Linked DNA regions of Nothobranchius furzeri. The protein of the gene in region 3 purifies or fractionates together with the protein of the main gene of each other region. This does not show direct contact. Links are inferred from orthologs where the notes say so. Each region holds a gene or a part of one and is shown on either strand. Other genes may lie near its edges. The genes, in order: map2k7, map3k7 and C-Jun-amino-terminal kinase-interacting protein 1.

Region 1 (6,495 bases), on a different chromosome or scaffold from region 3:
TTCAGAGCTGCTGTGACACAGGAGATCCTTCCTGCCCACAGCCTTCAGCATCTTTAACCACTCAGATTTCCAACTGAGCTTATTATTATTACTAGTATTTATTTTAATGACTGCTTTGAAGAATTAGTTAAGACAACACTTAACTTCCTTCTGGGATTAATGAAGTCATTTTGGACTTTAGACAGAGAACCTTAGTTCTGTGGAGTCGATGAAGAAACCCAATAATGAACCGGTGACACTGCTGAACTCAAACATATTTGTGATGTTCTCTAACGTGTATTAAATGGGGCTTGTATAAAATCCATTCCACTGCCTGCTGCTCAGCAACAGAGTTTCTCCTCACACGTGTGACAAGAGGTTTTCACTCCACGTTTGCTGGCTGTTTACCTGTGAACCACACCTGGTTTGTTGTTGGGATTTTTGTCCTGTCACACTAGTTCTAACCTTCTTCGTCTTCAGTGGTTTATTAATTTCCTCACCCAAGCTTCTGCTTCCCTGTAAACTCCTCCAAAGATGTGCTTTCTACGCCTGAATAGGACGGGAGATTGGATGCATTGAGGAGCTGAGGGACCAAGCTCTTTTCTTCAGTTAATAAATGATCCAACAAGAATACCAACAATCTAAATGTGTTAAACAACAACCTGCTGTACACATGGACATGTAAAGAAAGGAACTTCACAATAAAAGCTCATTGCAAGAATTTAAACACTTTTATTTGAAGTCATGAGCTCCAAAGATAATTAAGAGAATGTCCATGCCTAGGTCGATTTCATTCATAGAGGAAGGTAGCGGAGGTTACTGCTGCAGCTGCTGCTAGCGTGCAGGCTCCACCATCAAAGACAGCCCGCCTGCAGTACACCTGCAGCAGATGTGGTCAGCCCAAGCGGCTGGACACTGGCCACACATTGCAGGCGTGTCCTACTGGGCATCTGTTGGCGGAAAGTCTGTAGAGGAGTGGAGGGAGGAGATGAAGAATAACATTAGAGGGAGATTGGATGTGTTGAGGAGCTGAGGGAGCAAGACAGAAAAACTGTCTTCACTTTTTTGGATTTTTCTTTTTAAAGACTTTTTGAGACTTTTTCTTTTATTATATATATATATATATATATATATATATATATATATATATATATATATATATATATATATATATATATAAACGAAAACACTTTAAATCTTTGAATGTTTTTATGATCCTGGACACAGATACATTTATTACATGTGTTTTATAACATCACAAATATATTTCAACACAGATGCATTTTTTCATATATATTCTATAATTTTACGTGTCTATTATCACAAATATATTTCACAGCTCAGTGGTTCTTCATCACAATTATAATTAAATTTAAAGTGGTAATAGTGAAAAATTATTTACATAATAATTAGTTTTATCAGATTTCGCATACATTAATACTTTTATATTCGCACTGAGCGGGAATCGAACCTACGCACTTCGACTCCCGGACAAAACAGTTAAAAAAAAACGAGAAGATCCGTTGTTTGTCAAAGCTTTTTTTTTTTGTTTGTTTGTTTTTGGCTCCTGGTTTTTTATTTAGTTTTTTGTTTAAAAGCAATCGGTTTTGCTTCACCATCTTATTAATGTAAACCTTTGTTAAATTTAGTACGTTTCCTTACTCGTGTTGTACATGCTATATCTTTCAATAAAGTAAAAATAAATAAATAAATAAATAAATAAATAAATAAATAAATAAATAAACCTGCAGCGAGGTTTCCTCTGAAATAGAGAGCCCTTTCAGCCAATCAGACGCGAGAAAGGGAGAAAGGTGGGACCTTCCTGGACATACTACGGTTCCAAATGACGCGCGTGGGAGGAGGCTGTGGTTGCGAGTCTGCGCCTGCGCCTGCCTGCCACTGAGAGGCGTCGCGAGCTCTGCTGGAAACTATACGGTGCTCAATTTTTCAAGATGTCGTCGTTGGAACAGAGGCTGTCGCGAATCGAAGAGAGACTAAAGCAGGAAAATGAAGAAGCTCGCCGGAGAATCGACCTTAACATCGACATGAGCCCGCAGCGATCACGTCCAAGGCCAAGTGAGTGTCCATCGGGGCGGACCGGTGTGTTGGTAACGGCTAGAATAGCAGGAAAGGTCTGAGAAGGGGTGGGCTACCAGATGCATGCTAACTGGCTAGCTACGTAAACAAACATCGGCTGACCTCGGTTATACTACCAAAAATCCAACTTAATAAGTGGAACAGCTCATGTGGGGAGAAATGTTGAGCAGAGTTCAAACCCGGATGCAATGTTATACTAGTTGTCGGTGACTATGTCATTTCGAAATATGTTCATTTCAGTCCTGTCAAACATGCTAAGCTAACAAGCTGTACGTTTTGTGATAGTTTGTAGCAGGCCTGGCGTCCGTTAGAAAAATGACTGTTTTATTCATTTTTGATATAAATTTACGGTCGTTTCAATAATGTAATTTTAAAGGAATGTTTGTTCTAAATGTGAGTGGTGTGTTTGGATGTGACTTTTGGGCATAATAAGTCAGGTCACTTATGCTATTTTTAATGTCTCGCGCTTAAGGGTAATTTAAACTGGTTACTTTTATCCTTAACCAACACTGGTTGTGGTTGGAGCGGATGTTAAAGCAACAATCAAACAGAAATTCTGAACAGGTTGTCTGTTTTTTAGAAATTTGTGAGTTTGGTCAAACGTTTTAATAGTTATGTTGCTCTTTTTGAGGTTGTCTTGTAATTAACCTGTTATGATTAAATGTTAGGTCTTTCTCGTAGCTTTACTGCATCTGTTTGGTTAAGATTTGTTAGTGTAAATGTGTCAGAAAGGCATACGAACTTGACTTGACAGGAGATGCTGTAATTATGGGCCATAGAGGGAAAATCTCTACAGAAATGCTACGCTTGCTACAGCTTCGTGACATGTAACAACGAGACCCTCATTGCTGTAGTAAATAACAAAAAGCTCCATATTGACTGCTGTAAGTTTGCTATTGAGTGATAGCTTAAAAATCTTTCATTATTACTGAATAGCATTGTTTTGAGCCATTATACCTACCTTTTCTAATAGTTTTCTTTTGTTGAGAGAACAGTGGTCGTTTGATCCAGCTAACAAGTGCTGATGAAGGTCATTTGACTGTCACAGATGCTTCAAAAATTTACAGATGAGAAATGCATCAGGTCCAAATAACTCAGATTTGTTGGAGCCATGATACTGCTCACAATTATGCAGAATAATCATTTAAATGAGATAAAGATTGACCTTTGTTTAATCATAATATTTCCATAAGACACAACAGAGTTCATTATTTTGCCCAAGGACACTTTGTCTTGTGGAGAAACTGTAATTATACTACCAGCTCTCAGATTGGAAGTTGACCGCTCTACCAGCCGAGCCGCAGCTGTCTCAGACAGGGCAGTAACATGTTTCACATCCTGAGACCTCTGACTTTAAAAAAATCTCCTCTTGGTTTACCAGCTGGTGTTGAGCAAATAAGCTTGTAACTGAATATTTGGTGTGGAGAACTAAAAGGTCAGACATCAAATGCAACTTGACTTCATCGAGCTCTAAAAGTGAGAATATTTAAATCTTTTTTTTAATCTTTTTTATACTTTGTTTGGTTTTTTATTTATTGTTTTGTTTGTTTGTGAAGCGCCTCACGATTTTTATCTCAAGATGCTGTTTTTAAAAGAATGTTTTTTCTTTCTAACATTTTTATAGCAAAGAGATCAAAATGGATGTAATAGGGAGCCTAATGGGCCATTCCCATCTGTACCGGGTAGTCCCAGTCGGCCCCAGCCTGGCCCGGTTGATTCCACACATCCTTGCCTTAAGCCCATGTGGGCTGATTCTACCCACCAATCAGAGGCTTGCTCTAATGGAAGGTGTGAATTTGCTGTCAGCAGTGGGTGTGTTGGCCCTGGTCGGCCTGAATCAGACCCCTCGAGAAGAGGGCTGAGAATGAGCCTTGGTTTGCCCGGGAAAATACCAGGCCACCCAGATATGTAAACAACCTACGCTGCCTGGGCCGACCCGGTACAGATGGGAATGGCCCATAAGTCTCCTCCTTGTCCGGTTAGCTCATGGGTCCCTTGAAGAATGAAAAAATGAATGCAAATGAACAGAGGTAAAAGAACTATTTTCTAATCCGCTTTGCCTTACGCCCTGGATCACACACATGTTGCACTTCAATTTAAATGAACACTATAGGTGTTTCAACCAGCTTGTAAAAGTTTGTGATTATTATGATTACAAAAAATATGTTGGCACGTCACATAGATGACATCATCACAGGATCTCCTCTGCCCCAGCATAGCCGTTACTTACCCCATGGTCAGATTTCTGGTGAATTTCTTTCCTCCTGAAAGAAAGATTTGAAGTTCACTGAACTATAGGGCTGTCACAAACAACTCTTTTATAGTCGACTGATCGTGTCATGCATTAAAGTTTAGGTTTTTGCACCAGGATGCTCTTAATATACCCATTGTTAGCTTCTAGTTTGAAGTGTGATCAGCTGTGTGGCATCTAATGATAAAGACAAGATGATAACTTATCAAACAACTTTTAATTAACTTTGTAACCTATTAATACAAATGCTATAGTCAAATGGAGGTAGGCACCTAAAACCAAAAATAAATTGTACTCAAAAATGACTTGTGTTCACAAAAGGCATGGTGACAAGGGTGAAGCGCTTCGTCTTCTAATCTTAACTCAGGAAATGGCAGGACACACCAAGGTATGCCTCTGTAGCACGGCTGGTCCGCGTCAGCAGTCAGGGGACCATCGTCAGCTCTGAGGGTCTGCTTTACCGTAAAGATTAAAGTTAGTTTATTTACCAGATTAATAATTCTGTTATGTCAGAGGTGAACTCACCGATGCAATTCTTTGTTCATGCGCCTCGAAGCTGAAGGCGGCATCTGACCTGGATGGCGACCATTATGCATGTGCGTTGAGCAGAGAGGCAGGAAGCAACTGCCGAACGTGCTGCAGCAGGCGATATTTAAAAAAGTATTTATAGAATAAACGACACATCAACTATTAAATTAATAGTCAACTAATTTGTTTGTCGATGTCGTGACGAGTCGACTAATCGTGGCAGCCCTACTTTTGAGCTTTGTTGCGTGAGCATCATGGTGTCTTTTTTTTCTCCGGTGGTTCTGATTCAAAGGCTGATCTGGATGGCGAATACTGCGCATGAGCCTCAAGCAGAAAAGCAGAAGGTGCTGCAGCAGGCAAAATTTTTAAGCTCATATAATAAATAATGTGTCGACTATGAAATTTATTGTCGACTTTTTTGTTTGTCAGCATCATTGTGACGCGTCGACTAATCGTGGCAGCACTGGTCTTCAGCAGGAAGCATAAAGTGCTCTAAAACTTCTTGCTAGTCGGCTGCGTGGACCTCAGAAAACACAGTGGACCAACACCAGCAGATGACATGGCACCCCAAACCATCACTGACTGTTTCATTGTGGAGGATTTGCGCACGTTCCGCTGCTGTTTCTCACCAGCATCAGCTGATGGAGGGCTCTAGTTTCGTTGCGCCGTTCGTGTCAGCGGACATGGGAGGGGGGTGGGGCATGACGCTTAGTCTGGCGGGCCGCCAGGCTTATAAAGCGCTGGGGGAAACCATCTAAAGGCATTTGCAGGCGTTTTGATTAATTAGCTGATTACCCCGGGTTTCCACGGGAGCCGTCAGCAGCACGTTACTGCAGCAGCACGTCTTGCTCGCGTAAGCTGCTGCTTGGCCCTTCCCACGAGACGCAAAGCAGCAGGGGAGCAGCTGTCACCGACAGAGCACGAAGTCACACGAGTGACTTAGTCAGTAAACACAACAACAAGCAGGAGAAAACTACAACATGGTTTGTGTTTTATGTTCTGTCCGTTTCATAATCACCAATACGGACCTGAAAAACAAAGGAGACCGCTAGCTAGGTGATAACTTCTCACGGGGCCGCACAGTTAGTAACTTTTTTTAAAAGTAAAGCAACTGGAAGGCAGTACGTTCTTTATTCTGAAAATCTCGGGAGCTTCTCCCCATTTCCGCGTTCGATTTCCTGTCTTTCCTTCCCCAAAAATGTCGAACTTGACCCGTTTCAGAGGCGTCGCGCGTAGAAAATAGAACCGGCGCGTAAGGGCCGCGACATGCTGCTCCTGAGACGCGGCCGACTCGCGCTGCCGACGGCTCCAGTGGAAAAGGTTCTGTTGACCACAGCGGTTCCTATCGGCAGCTATGACGTGCTGCTGACGGCTCCTGTGGAAAGCCGGGGTTAGAGTGTGGCGAAACTTTTCATAATTTTCTAATATTCTGAGATACTGAATTTCGGACTTTCATTAGTTGTCAGTTATCAAAGTTAAAGAACTAAACATATGAAATATATCAGTCTGTGTGCAATGAATTAATCTCATACCGGTTTCACTTTTTGAATGGAACTACTAAAAATCAACTTTGTCATGATTTTCTACTTTTATGACCAGCATCTGTCTGAACACAAGGAGGTAAAGGGATGACTTTTCAG
Region 2 (6,553 bases), on a different chromosome or scaffold from region 3:
CACTTGTTACACTGTTGTCTCATGAACTACTTAGCTCCAAATTCAAGCTGACTGTTAAGGAACAATATCAGGTTATAAAAGCAATTCCAAGTCCTGTCTTGTCAATCTCCTCCAATTTACATCACAATAACATTAGTCCAAAGCTCCCTGGACTTATGCTTAATGGATGTTCTATTACTGACAAAAAGTTATCCAATATTGTAGTAAGACAGTTATTTAGTCAACTGCATCCATTCTTAGCCAACAGATCATTAGCTTCTCACCTACAATCTTATGAAATAGAAAAAAAAGCAAGGAGTTTTTTTTCAAGCTTCCAGTTGCTCCAAAGATAAAAGAGATGCTGTTTAAAATTATTAATAGCATTTATCCATCTGGAGAGCTTTTGAGACATCGATTTAACTTGGAACATAATGGCTGCTCATTTTGTAATGCAGACAGAAACCACTGAGCATCTGCTTTTTGACTGAATTTGTAAAGACTTTTTGGAGTGAATTAGAGAATTGGTTGGCTTTGAGGCTATGTAATCCACCAAAACTTTCTAAAAAAACGTGTTAATCGGTTGTTTTACAACCAAGGACAATATTTATATTGCTTTAAATGTTATAATTATCCATGGATGTTATATACACAAATGCCGTTATGCTAAAACCTACCCTAATTTCATTGCATTTTATAAAGAATTAGTACATTACTTCTCTTTTTTGAAATCCATGAAAGGCTCCAAAGCCTAAGAAATACAAACTAAATGCTAACCCCTAGCACATTTATTGAATGATGTTTTGCACTTTAATAGTTGTTTTACTGTCATTTTGTCTATTTCATTTAATTTGTATTTTATTTATATTATGTTTGTTTATTATTTATTTACTTTTCCTCAGTTTATTTCTCTTGTCTGCTTGTATTTCCAGTTAAGAAGGGAATATTGTAATGTGCCATGTTTTGTTGATTAATAAACAGATTTTAAAAAATCATCCAAGGATCATGCACGTTTTGACTGTAGGGCCTTTGGTTAGGGAGCCGGTAGCTGAAACGCATTGACCTTCGCAATAGCGCCACCTAGAGTTTTGTGGGTATGAATTTTGGAATCATAGTAGCAGTCAGGTTTTTCTATCAGACTGCCATGTTACATTTTTTCTGGCATTTTCAGGCTCCTGCAGCCATATAGAATTAGCGGAAAAGAATAATGAATAACAATAAATAATGAAAAATCCGTTGAAAAACAACAGGGTTCCCTGCCCGTTGTCGCTTCATGCTGTTGTGATTTTCCTGTGCTGTAATGAGCGCATCCTCCTGGTGGAGCTGCTGTGCTTCCGCGAAGAAAAACAGTCGGAGGAAGCCAGCTAGACGAGCCGAGGGAAAGTTATGGACAGACGTTTTCTAAAGATGGACGTTATTCTTCGGCTTCCCGTGCAGAAATAGTAGGAGCTATCCCCATGTCTACGGAGCCGGCCTCGGTAACATCTACGAGAAAGGGCTGGATTTAAGCCCCGGCAGCTACGTTTAGCAACCAGGCTCGGAAGCTAATGTAAGCAAGCTAATTCACACCGTAGGCCTTGATAACTAAATTGTTTTGTTTAAGTGTCATGTTGTTTGTGCATTTCTCTTATTAACACCGTACTGATGCTCCAGGACTTGTTATCCAGCCTTCTGTGCAACTTAAAGCACGTTGTAGCCTTTGGTTGGTGGTTTTGTTGCAGCTGTGCTAGTTTTAGCTCTGCTGGCTAGCCAGCTGATGGAAGCTAGCGTGCTGTTTACCATGTTTGACAGCTCGCAAAAGGAATGTGGAGCGAAACGCAGTTCCGGTACATCAGTGCGTTCATTTTTTGTTTTTGTTTTTCTGATTGGTATTGACACGTTTCCGTTGTCCACTGTCTTCTTTTCTCTGATTAGTTACTAGCTTGTTTTAGCTAGTAATGTCTCAGACGCTACCACCTTCCGATATGCTGGAAACGCCACCTGGATATCCATTTGAAGAGATCAATTATGAGGATATTGAAGTGGAGGAGGTGAGTTATGTTTGGTCCGTGTGGCCATGGATGAGGGTGTTAACGGAGTTGTCCTAAACGTGATCGCCTGTATCTGTCCCTGTGAAGGTGGTGGGCAGAGGTGCGTTCGGGGTGGTCTGCAAAGCCAAGTGGAAAGGCAAAGATGTTGCAATCAAGACCATCGAGAGTGAGTCGGAGAGGAAAGCCTTTATTGTTGAGGTACTGTTACTCTATTATTATTGTTGTTGTTATTGTTATTATTGTTGTTATTATTGGTGCAGAGTCGACCAGGTCCACTGATGCACCAAGATGTGACTGCTGGTTTGGTGTTAGTGGCAAATGTCTGACACATCATACAGCTCTCAGCCATAAGATAATGACCACCTGTATGGTCTGAGTAAATCCTGCTTTTCTACTAGAGCACTGCAGACGTTAGAGGCCTGAACAGTGACATCACTAGACGTTTGTTTCTGGAGGATGTTGTGAGGCGAGGCCTTCATGGATGGGTTGATTTGGATGTGAAGACTCTAAAAACATCCATAAACATCTCTAACCACTTCTGTTAGGTCACCTGGTTCTTGTTCTTCTGCAGGCTTTTCCTCTTAACTCTTTCACTGCCATTGACGACTAAAGTCGTCATTTGCATTTTTTTTACTGTGTAGGCATCGGAACGAGCCCCTGCGCCGAAAGAACAAACATCTCAGCTCTGAAGCCGATCTTCATTCGCATACGTCACACGTCACATGATCAGGACGGAGAAAATCCATGTGTTAGGAGATTGCTTTGGGCCATTCCTGTAAAAAAAAAAAGTGAGGCGCGAACCGGAAAAGCGTCTGCCCATCACAGTTCGACAACGAGTTATGAAAGAACGGATAACGCTCGAAACGTGCAGATTCTTCCTGATGTAAGAGATGAGTCTCATCTTTGTTTTGGTTGTTTTGGCATCGACATCATCCTAGCGCGCAACGTTCTGTCACTCTTAAAAAACAGTAAAAACGGTGAGAAACGCTGGCAGCGAAGGCCGTTAACGATCAGGAAACGGCTGGCAGTGAATGAGTTAAAGGGAAGTGTCCCCTCTTCTCTTACACCATACTGAAGTGTAATCAGTGTAATCTGCCCATTTCGTTCTTTACTGTGCACTAAAATATCTGAGATTGAGTCATATAAAACTTTCAGATCAAAAAGCTAATTTCAAAGTCTGATAAGGATAACCTGAGTCAATAAAATGTTTTTTTCTGATGGTTTCATTATTAGAGGAACAGAGCTATCCCGACCACCCCGGTCCGGCGTGATAAAACAAACCTCACAAGTAGCAAACACCCCCGGTGTCACATCAGATGATTTGGATCCAAGGATTCAGCCAATACTCAGAAAGGTCAAAATACAAATGTATGTAAAGCAAATTAAATAAATCAGGAATGGTTTTAAGATTAACTTGGTTTGACACAACAGATATAGCTTAGCTTGACGACTAGACCACGACTAGATTAGAATTCATGTTGGACTCCCTTGACTGAGACCTGCTGATTCTGGCCTGGTTCGTAGCGAGTTAGTGGGCTGATCTGGCACTCACCAATAGCTGCAGGGAGCTTTTATCACCGTAATACAGATGGAAATATCAAGATGTCTCAGGTGAGCTTCGATGAGGTGAGTGCAGAGAGATCAGGAACTGAAGTCCTGACACTAAGAGGCTCCACCTGGGTCCGGTGTCTGTGATAACTCCTATTGAGTCTCATGCCAAGCCAACTTTATTTGTGTACAACCTTAAACAATAACAGTAAAAACAATAAAAATGCATAAAAACTAAAACTTGAGGACTAAAAGTAAAAGACTCATGCTAAGTTAAAAGTGGGTTTTCTAGAGATTTCTGTCACCTCTAAACTGGCGTCTCGTTGTCGGGACTTCCAGGAGCTTCCTATCAGCCGACCTCAGACCGTGCAGGGGAGTTAAAAACCAGTAGCTCAGAGAGGTCATCTGGAGCAAGGCCGTAAAGATTTAAAAGCCCATAAAAGCACCTTGTACTGGATTCAAAAACAAGCAGGTAGCCAGTGCAGTGAGGCCAGGACAGGAGTAACGTGCACCGTCATTTTCGTCCCATCGATAAGCCGTGCAGCAGCATCCTGCACCAACTGAAGACGCCAGAGGTGGGATTGTGAAACACCAAACTCTCAGTGTGTTCACATGCGCGTCAGAAAACTGAACTTTTGCCCTAAGTAGACTGACGTTGTTGATTTTTAAACTCATGTAAACTTGTAAGTCTCGTTGAACGTGAACTGGTTCTAGTCGTCCTGAAGCACCCAGATAATGTAGTGGGAGCCCAACTTCATCTGTGTGTAAGCGCCTCCATCGAGCTGATGACGGTAACTTTCAGACTTGACGAGACGCAGAAGAGGTCTTCTGATATCATCGCCACAAAGTCGCACGTGTAACAGCATCACAGATCAGCTGTGCCGCAGCGTTGTTGTCCATTCGGCCATTGTTCATATCCTGTTTTAACTCTGTCTGCTTCACTCCCACCAGCGTTTGTTTGCTATTTGTGTTGCTATAAGTTAACCGGAAGAACGCCTACACAATAGGGCGCATGTCGCCTCCAACTGTACCGGAACGGTACTAACGTCTTTACGGGGGTTGGTTTTCTAACGTACAGGTAAACTAGGAGAAAGGCTCCCAGTTTATTTTAGATCCATTCAGATGTGCGTGTAAACACGCTGAGTGGTACATCAGAGGGGTTTCCAGCAGGAACGGCCTGTTTAAGGTCAAAGGTCAGACGTTCTCTTTCAGGATGCTCTGCCAGAGCATGGTTCCAGCAGGTCCTTTGTGTTCTTCCTCACTTGACTCATGACCTCTGACCTTAACATTAGCCAAGTGACACCTGTAGGTAGGATGGGCCCAACATCTATAAATCGTGATATAATTTAAAGCACGTGCGGTAACACGACGTATTCTTTTCATTAGTTTATTTGTCCAAATAACCTTTCTGAACAATCTCTCACACCAGATGAGCGGCACCAGAACAAGTGCTGATGAAAAGGACAGAATGCCACTTAAAAACCGTTTAACGTGACAAAACGTCTCAAATGACTTTTATGTTCTTAAGGTTCTTTTTTCAAACTTTTCATCACAAATATTCTCATGACGTGAATAAAGATGAAGATATTTTAATGAAAAATGTAAAAACACAAATAAAATTTCTTTCTGATTAATTTAATAATTTTCAGGTTTTCTTTTGCTCATAGAAGTTTAGTGTTAGTCGTTAATAACTGCAGCTAAAACGATGCTTTGCAGCAGTTCTTTTTTGTTTGTAAAAGAGAACCCAAACCAGGTCCGTATAACCAACATAACTCCATCTTCCCAACGAGCACGCCTTCCTCCGTGCGCTGTGGCAAGCTGACACAGCATGATGATATTTACGCGCCGTCACTGTCGGACGGTAGAGTCAGCAGCTCTGCCCGCGGTTATTGTATCATATCGACCGGGTACACCATGCATCACTAGCTCTAAGGTGTTGTTGTTTTTGGTAGGCAGACATTCAGGTCCGTGAGCTCGCCCATGGAGGGTGTTTCATCGGTCTCTCACTCATTCACATCATGACTTTCATCAGAGTCAGAATGTTCCTGTTGGCTCGGTGCCGCTGGGAGGAGCCCTGCTGTTGTATCAGCAGTGAAAGTGTCACACTCATTTCATGCTTTTTCTTTGCAGCTGAGACAGCTTTCTCGTGTGAACCACCCAAACATCGTGAAGTTGTACGGCTCCTGTAAAAACCCGGTAAGAAGGGTGAAATGTTTTTGTTAGTTTCATAAAGTTTCAGAGGTTTATTCCTGGTTCTCTTCCACATTTAGGTCTGTCTTGTGATGGAATACGCAGAAGGAGGATCCTTGTACAATGGTGAGTCCAGATTCAGAACCAGAGAGCGGTTGTGTGTTCTAGGTGACCATGAGCACAGCCTGTCACACACATGAAGGCTGCCCCTAGCTGGTTAACATCTCTCTGCATCACCAGCAGTCCTTCTACCGATGTCTCACTCTCCTCTGATATACTGGTGCTACAGATGGAATATGGCTGCAGCTAGCATGCTGCTGCTCCGTCTCTCTCGTGTCTCTGCCTGTCGGAGGTCATCACATTCAATTCAATTCAAGTTTATTTATAAAGCGCCAAATCACGACAAGTCGTTTCAAGGGCCTTCACATAGTAAACATCCCAGTACAGGTCAGGTCATTAAGCCAATCAGTAACAAGTTTCCTATATAAGGAACCCAGCAGGTCGCATCGAGTCACTGACTAGTGTCAGAGTCTTTACAGCAATCCTCATACTAAGCAAGCATGCAGCGACAGTGGAGAGGAAAACTCCCTTTTAACAGGAAGAAACCTCCAGAGGATCCTGGCTCAGTATAAGCAGCCATCCTCCATCCATGTATGATGGAGCTTGATTATTAAGAGCTTTATATGTGAGAAGAAGGGTCTTAAAATCTATTCTGAATTTAACAGCTAGCCAATGTAGGGAAGCTAAGACAGGAGAGATATGATCTCTCTTTTTAATCCTCATCAGAACTCTAGCTGCAGCATTTTGGA
Region 3 (6,453 bases):
ATTGGGCCCACTTACTTTTTCTTTGGCCCACCCACAAATGAGTTTCTACGCTAATGGTGACATATGACAGACTTCTCTGAGCTCCGCAGCCATTACACTTTTCACCTCGCGCACCCCCTAGCGTCTTAATTTGACCTTGAATGAAAAATAACCTGTATGTCTGTGGTGGTCACTGCTCAAGAATCAGGAGTTAAAGTCAAGACTAAATGCAGAGATCTCAGCAGACTAAACTAATCAATCCTTACACAACAGATTGCTACAGCAACTACAGATGATATACAAAATTTAAATTTATAGACATTCTCTATTTTACTGTTTTGCTTTTTTTCTCTTTTAGAGCTGCTTAAAATTTCAACGATATAAAAAACTGTTTTTAATCATTTCTTTTTTGTTTGTTTTTTCTTAAAGAAACTATTATTAAAGCAAGCAGATACATTTTGAGATTTTATGTTTAGATGGCTCTTTTACTGAGCTCTGTTTTCCTCTAATTCTTAAAGTTTTTGTTCAAAATTAACCTTTTTTTAAATCCAAAACAGTTAACTCATTCACTGCCAGCCGTTTCCTGATCGCTAAAGGCCTTCACTGCCAGCGTTTCTCACCGTTTTCACTGTTTTTTTAAGAGTCACTGAACGTTGCGCGCTAGGATGATGTTGACGCCAAAACAACCAAAACAAAGCGGAGCCTCACCTCTTACATCAGGAATAATCGGCGTGTTTCGAGTGTTATCTGTTCTTTCATAATCCGTTGTCGAATTGTGATCGGCAGAAGCTTTTCCGGTTCGCACCTCACTTTTTTCAAAGGAACGGCCCAAAACGATCTCCTAACACATGGAATTTCTGCTTCCTAATCATGTGACGTGTGACGTATGTGGATGAAGATAGGCTTCAGAGCTGAGATGTTTGTTCTCACTGTGCAGGGGCTCGTTCCGATGCCCACACAGTAAAAAAAAAAAAAATGCAAATGATGTCTTTAGTCGTCATTTGCAGTGAACGGTTGGATCTAAAATGATGACTTTAGTCGTCAATGGCAGTGAATGAGTTAATGACATGTTCACCTTCAAAAAATGTTTTATAATAAAAAATAACCATCTGATATCATCAAATCTCAATTTTAAATAGCAGAGAACATTAAAGATTGACAGAAATAGTGATTAGTTTTATGTCAGGATATATATATATATATATCGATTTCGACCAAATTATTTTCCATATTGCCTAGCCCCAAGACCAGATTCTCATGAAGTTTCTTCATGAGGGTTCATAGCGAAAAGACCCACCACTTTAACTCTAATTAGATAATTACTTTGAAAATTTTAACTCCTCTCACCAGATTTGTGCCTCGACATGATGATGAACTGGAGTTGGAGGTGGACGACCCTTTGTTTGTGGAGGTCCAAGGGGAGGACTACTGGTATGAGGGCTACAACATGCGGACTTATGCTCGTGGGATCTTCCCTGCCTACTACGCCATAGAGGTCACCAAGGACACTGAGAGCTGTGAAGGTACTGATAAATGTACAAGTTCAAGACACTGTTAAAACTGTCCACAAATTTGCTGAAAAAGATCCACTTTCTGACTACAAGTGTGTTTGTTTTGGTTTGAATTTGAGTTGAAATCATATGAAGTGCTTTCCTGATTGCAAGTGTTTCTTACAGTTTCAGCTTTTGAAAAGAAAAAAAAAGACATGTAAGAGCCCTAAAAGTTTGTTTGATCAAAAACAAACTCCAGAATGAAAGTTCCTGAAAGGGCATTTTCATTTTCATAGACAGTCAAAATGCAACTTTTTTTAAAACTTCTCATATTCACACCTCAGACTTGCCTCTAGTCTAACCTAATACCATGTCAGGATGCTAATACCGTCTCTGTTCACACATGATTTTCTGGAATTTGTGATAAAGATTCTACAAAATTCAGTGGCTGAAGTACAATCATCCCTGCCTCTTGCTTATTGTTTGCACATACCATGCAAGTAGTAATCACACACAGGAGGCTTTCCTGATTTATTTTTATTTTTATTTGTTGTTGCGGTGGATGTTCATATAGACTGGAGATGCTCCAATCCGATCATGTGATCAGAAATCGGGAGAAAAAAAACGGATTTAATCTTTTAAAAACAACAAAACATGACTTTTTAAATGCATCCTGAGATAGAGGTTTTCAAATTGAATGAAAATGGCTTAGTTCAAATTTCAATACGTCCCTCTACATCAATAATATTAGTTTCTTATACGAACAACACAGTAATGTCAAACAACTTACGGCAGGCAAGGACTCAGACACCAAGTGCCGCTGTTAGATAGCCTGCTAACGTAGAGCTAACGTGTCTCCTCAGGAGAGCTAAAACATCTGCAGCTTGGTTGTATTTAAACCGGACAGCAAAGGCAGAGCTACAGACACTTGTATGTGTGCATACCGAGCATTCAATATGCTGAAAAGGGCAGCTCCATGAGTTGCTGCCTTCAAACAAGCTAATTTCTCTGTCAGCTTTTCCCTTCGGGCATCAACAAAGGAAATTACTGGTCTCCATTAATCCCTAGATTACCTCTAACAGTCGCAGTTCACAGTGAAGTCAGACAAAAACTCGGAGCCAGCTGACAGAGAAAGTTACGCTAATGAACTAAGAGAAATTAGCACCTTGAATGTTTTTGTTTTTTATTGTACAATGCTGGCAGGCAAAAACACTGTCCAGCTGCTATCCTGACCTGTCGCATTTTTTTAGAATATTTTTTGTTCACTAGTTCTTGTTTGTTTGCTTGTCAATTTGGTTCTGTGCAAGATCTGCCCCTTAATTGGTTAATGCTATGTTTAGTTGCTTTGTCAAAGTCTAGTCCTAATTTATTTTATTTTTAATATGTATATCCATTTCTTAGTATTGTAAACAAAACCATTTTCTTCACTTGTCCTTGCAGTGAAGAGTAGTGAATGGATGGACACATATCGCCTGAAGTTTCTGGGATCAGTCCAAGTGCCCTACCACAAAGGAAACGACGTTTTATGTGCAGCTATGCAGAAGGTAGACACCCTGTGTTTTGCACATTTGGATGTCCATATCTTTCTAACTTCATGTTTTAGTCATCATATTTTTCTTATTTCTTCCAGATCGCTATCAACAGAAAGATGACAGTCAAGTATAACCCGCCTTCCTCCTGCATCCTAGAAATTAGTGTTAAAGGCATCAAACTGGCAGTTCAAGAGGACTACTACACCTGTGATAGAGTAAGAACCGACAGCTCGCATCTCACCTGGATGAGATGGTTGATGACTAGCTGAAAACACAAATTTGAATTGAATTGGTTTGTAAAACACTTTTGTGACATGTTTTATGCATGGCCAGGTGGAGTCATTGATGTCATTTTGAACAAGTCCCACTGCAGCGGTGCAGAAAAAACTATCGGATTAGATTTGTGCCAATAGGATCAAGAAAAAGACTTTGAAGATCAAACAAATATTAAGACATGGAGAGAAAAAAATTGTTTCAAAAGAAAAACTTACAATCTGAATCAGCTTCTTAAAATGATCAAGAAAAACACTTTGATGGTCAAACAAAATTTAAGAAATTGACAGAACAAAAATATTGACTAAAGGAAAAAAAATGTTTCAAAAGTAAAACTTACTATCTGAATCAACTTCTTAAAATGAGTAACAAAGTATGTTTCCTTTTTCTGTTTGCCTCTATGTGTTTTTGTTATCAGTTTCCTTAGTTTCGTTCTCGCTGCTCAGAGCTTTGCTCTCACTACCAGATTTGCACTTACACTTTCTGGCTTTCTCCTTTGCAATCCCTGAGTTTTTGGTTGCAATTCTGACACAACCCTGTCGGGTGGGTGGGACTTCTGAGAAGTCCTCTCCCATAGGACAGTGGTTTCTCTTGAGTGAAAGTTCAGTGACCCAGAAGTGATGTAACCTCCAAGACATTTTTTTCCCACCTCGGTCAACAACATGAATTTTGAGCCCCAAACACATTATTTCTGCTGTCTGTGGTGTCTACTAAGGATCTAAAGTGAGTATTGATAATATATTTTATCTTTTCTTAGTTAATCTTTAAGTTAAGCCACTTTTTAAGTTGGTTTTAACCAGACGTTAGCTCACTAGCTAGCTGCTAAGCAAGCCATTGTGCTAGCCTCAGGACAATGGTCTATTGTTCCAGAGAGACGTATTAAAAACTCATCTTAACATTTTCATTTTTATTCCATGTTACTTGGACGGGCTATACAAGTTCACAGTTCTGCCTGCTCCTTTTTCAGTGAAACAAATGGATTATATGATGTAACTCTGACTGAATAATTATCTAATTGAGTATGTTTGATAATAATGTTCTTACCACTATACAGATCTGACATTTGTTTGTCAGAACAGGACAAATCAGATTCAATGTGCTTTCTGTCAAGTGTTCTGTATTCTCCATCAAAAGAATGAGTTAAATACATGCTTTTAAATATTAAATTTTTACATAAAATCTATATTTTTGTCTAAAAGCTATTTCTTTTGTTGTTTGGGTTTTTTTCTTTCTTTTTAGATATAAAACTACTGCATTGCATTACAATGGAAGTGCTACATGGCCACATGTGTCAACTGCAGCTGGTGGGCTAAGACACACATAGTGTACACAAAGTACACTGCAGACAAGGGATGTAAGAAAATATCAATATGACAATATATCACAATATATTTTCTCAGTGATATTGTATCGATATTCTCAAACTGTGTCTCTAAAATATCGATATGCAATATATCGTGATATTTTTTCCTGAGATATTACATCCATTTTCAAAAGCAGTGTATCTCATTTTTGGAAGAATTTACATACAAACATTAGTGTATTTTCTTTGTTTTTGGTGCACTTTAAATGTCGACTGCTAGTTGGCAGCAGTATGCATTGGGTTTTGTTTCCACCATTGAAATTTAAATCCCGCTATTATGGTTCAGATAACTCATGTTAAACATGTTAAGTATCAGTTTGGACTGTTTATTGAATATTCCTACAATAAATTCAGTCAAAAATACACATCCCTACTGCAGACCAATCCCACCTCATGTATTTCATAGGCTGTAAAATAAACCCACAGTGAAAGTTATGGATAAATATCTGTACTAATGGTAATCTTTTTCCATTGTTTCCAGTTGACAAGCATATGGACCTATTGTTCGAGTCTGTGGTGGTGGATGCTCTACCATATCAGGAGTCTAAGTACCTGTGCCTGAACCTCTCTGTGTCTAGTTCAAAAGACCTGAAAGACCTGCTGTAAGCAGGCACAGGTTAAGATTTTAAAAGAACCTGTAAGGTGAGCAACACAACAGAATATAAATCTTTATTATTATTGTACGCTGTACAGCTAGAGTAAACTTGCATGCTCAGAAGCCACATATGATTACATCGCCTACAGGTTGCCTGATGCTGAACTTCAGGCAGCTGCGTGTGACTGTACTCCCGTGGAACAACCACCTGTCAGGAGTTTGGGTCGGAGTCCTGGGTTTGTGTTCCCTTTAATCTCTTCATTAGCCTTGCTAGTCACCATTGCAGAGCACCATGGAGAGGCTTACCTGAAAACTCTTCTCATGGGGCAGGCACATCCTCACACACCTGTAACCCCATCCTTGAATAAAAGCTGGTAGCTGGTCACTCATCAGAGTGTTTTAACCCATATCTAGCCCATGACTCTGCCGTTTTTCAAACTTACATTCTCATTTTCTATGCAGATCTATGGAAATTATTTCCTTGAAGCTCCTGATCACACAACCATACTGGCAGTCGGCTTACCCACTACCTTCTGCTCACCTGCTTGCAACTCATGCTGTCATTCTCCCAGACTTCTGGTTGTTTCTCCACCATTCTGCTGTCTCCCGTCTGCGCTACAACTTCAGACCGTAAGTACCTAAACGTTTCCTTTTGTAAGTCATTCTTTAGTCATTACTAACACTCAATTTTACCTCAGGGCCTTCTGATCTTTAAACACTAAAACCTGTTGCTCCATCTCTGTGGCGTTTCTCAGTCTCTGTAAGCTACCTGCACAGTCTAAAAAAAACCTGACCTGTTGACTCTTACTAACCTCTGCTCTTCCTTGCAGAAGCTTCTGGTTCCTGATCTCCAGCAGTTACCTCTTCAGTCATCCGTCAAACATTTAAATAAACTGTTTTTAGCTCATTTGTCTCCTGAGTTTCTCTGCATGAAGGTCAGTTTATTGCAAAAGTCATGACATTAGCAATTATTTTGTCCCACTCTGTTAAACAGCTGATGTTAATTTCAAGTGTATCTTTAAAAATACATTGAATGTCAATGTGAATGAAAGGCATCCATTCAGCTTTCAGTGTCTAATGCAGGATTTTATGGACAGGCACCAAAACATGAAATTTATAAATTGAGATTTATTTACTAAATCAGGTAAACCATAATAAAATACTAATGTTTAAAGTCCAGAGGAGGGAGGAAGGCTTTATAGCAGGGGTATTCAATTCTAG

Evidence for each region.
Region 1: the proteins of C-Jun-amino-terminal kinase-interacting protein 1 (region 3) and map2k7 purify together in Homo sapiens (affinity purification with western blotting; 3 studies listed by BioGRID and IntAct, with this or other methods). This does not show direct contact. The link is inferred for Nothobranchius furzeri from reciprocal best matches to the Homo sapiens genes MAPK8IP1 and MAP2K7.
Region 2: the proteins of C-Jun-amino-terminal kinase-interacting protein 1 (region 3) and map3k7 purify together in Homo sapiens (pull-down; 3 studies listed by BioGRID and IntAct, with this or other methods). This does not show direct contact. The link is inferred for Nothobranchius furzeri from reciprocal best matches to the Homo sapiens genes MAPK8IP1 and MAP3K7.

What each region holds. Positions count from the first base shown.
Region 1 is NC_091747.1:73,509,033-73,515,527, forward strand, and holds the start of map2k7 (dual specificity mitogen-activated protein kinase kinase 7), read left to right. Parts: upstream 1-1,859; 5' UTR 1,860-1,931; coding exon 1,932-2,055; intron 2,056-6,495. UniProt on the Homo sapiens protein: Dual specificity protein kinase which acts as an essential component of the MAP kinase signal transduction pathway. Essential component of the stress-activated protein kinase/c-Jun N-terminal kinase (SAP/JNK) signaling pathway.
Region 2 is NC_091743.1:91,283,191-91,289,743, forward strand, and holds the start of map3k7 (mitogen-activated protein kinase kinase kinase 7), read left to right. Parts: upstream 1-1,312; 5' UTR 1,313-1,525; intron 1,526-1,890; 5' UTR 1,891-1,913; coding exon 1,914-2,006; intron 2,007-2,093; coding exon 2,094-2,204; intron 2,205-5,684; coding exon 5,685-5,750; intron 5,751-5,824; coding exon 5,825-5,870; intron 5,871-6,553. UniProt on the Homo sapiens protein: Serine/threonine kinase which acts as an essential component of the MAP kinase signal transduction pathway. Plays an important role in the cascades of cellular responses evoked by changes in the environment.
Region 3 is NC_091749.1:49,781,702-49,788,154, forward strand, and holds part of C-Jun-amino-terminal kinase-interacting protein 1, read left to right. Parts: intron 1-1,329; coding exon 1,330-1,502; intron 1,503-2,909; coding exon 2,910-3,013; intron 3,014-3,099; coding exon 3,100-3,216; intron 3,217-6,453. UniProt on the Homo sapiens protein: The JNK-interacting protein (JIP) group of scaffold proteins selectively mediates JNK signaling by aggregating specific components of the MAPK cascade to form a functional JNK signaling module. Required for JNK activation in response to excitotoxic stress.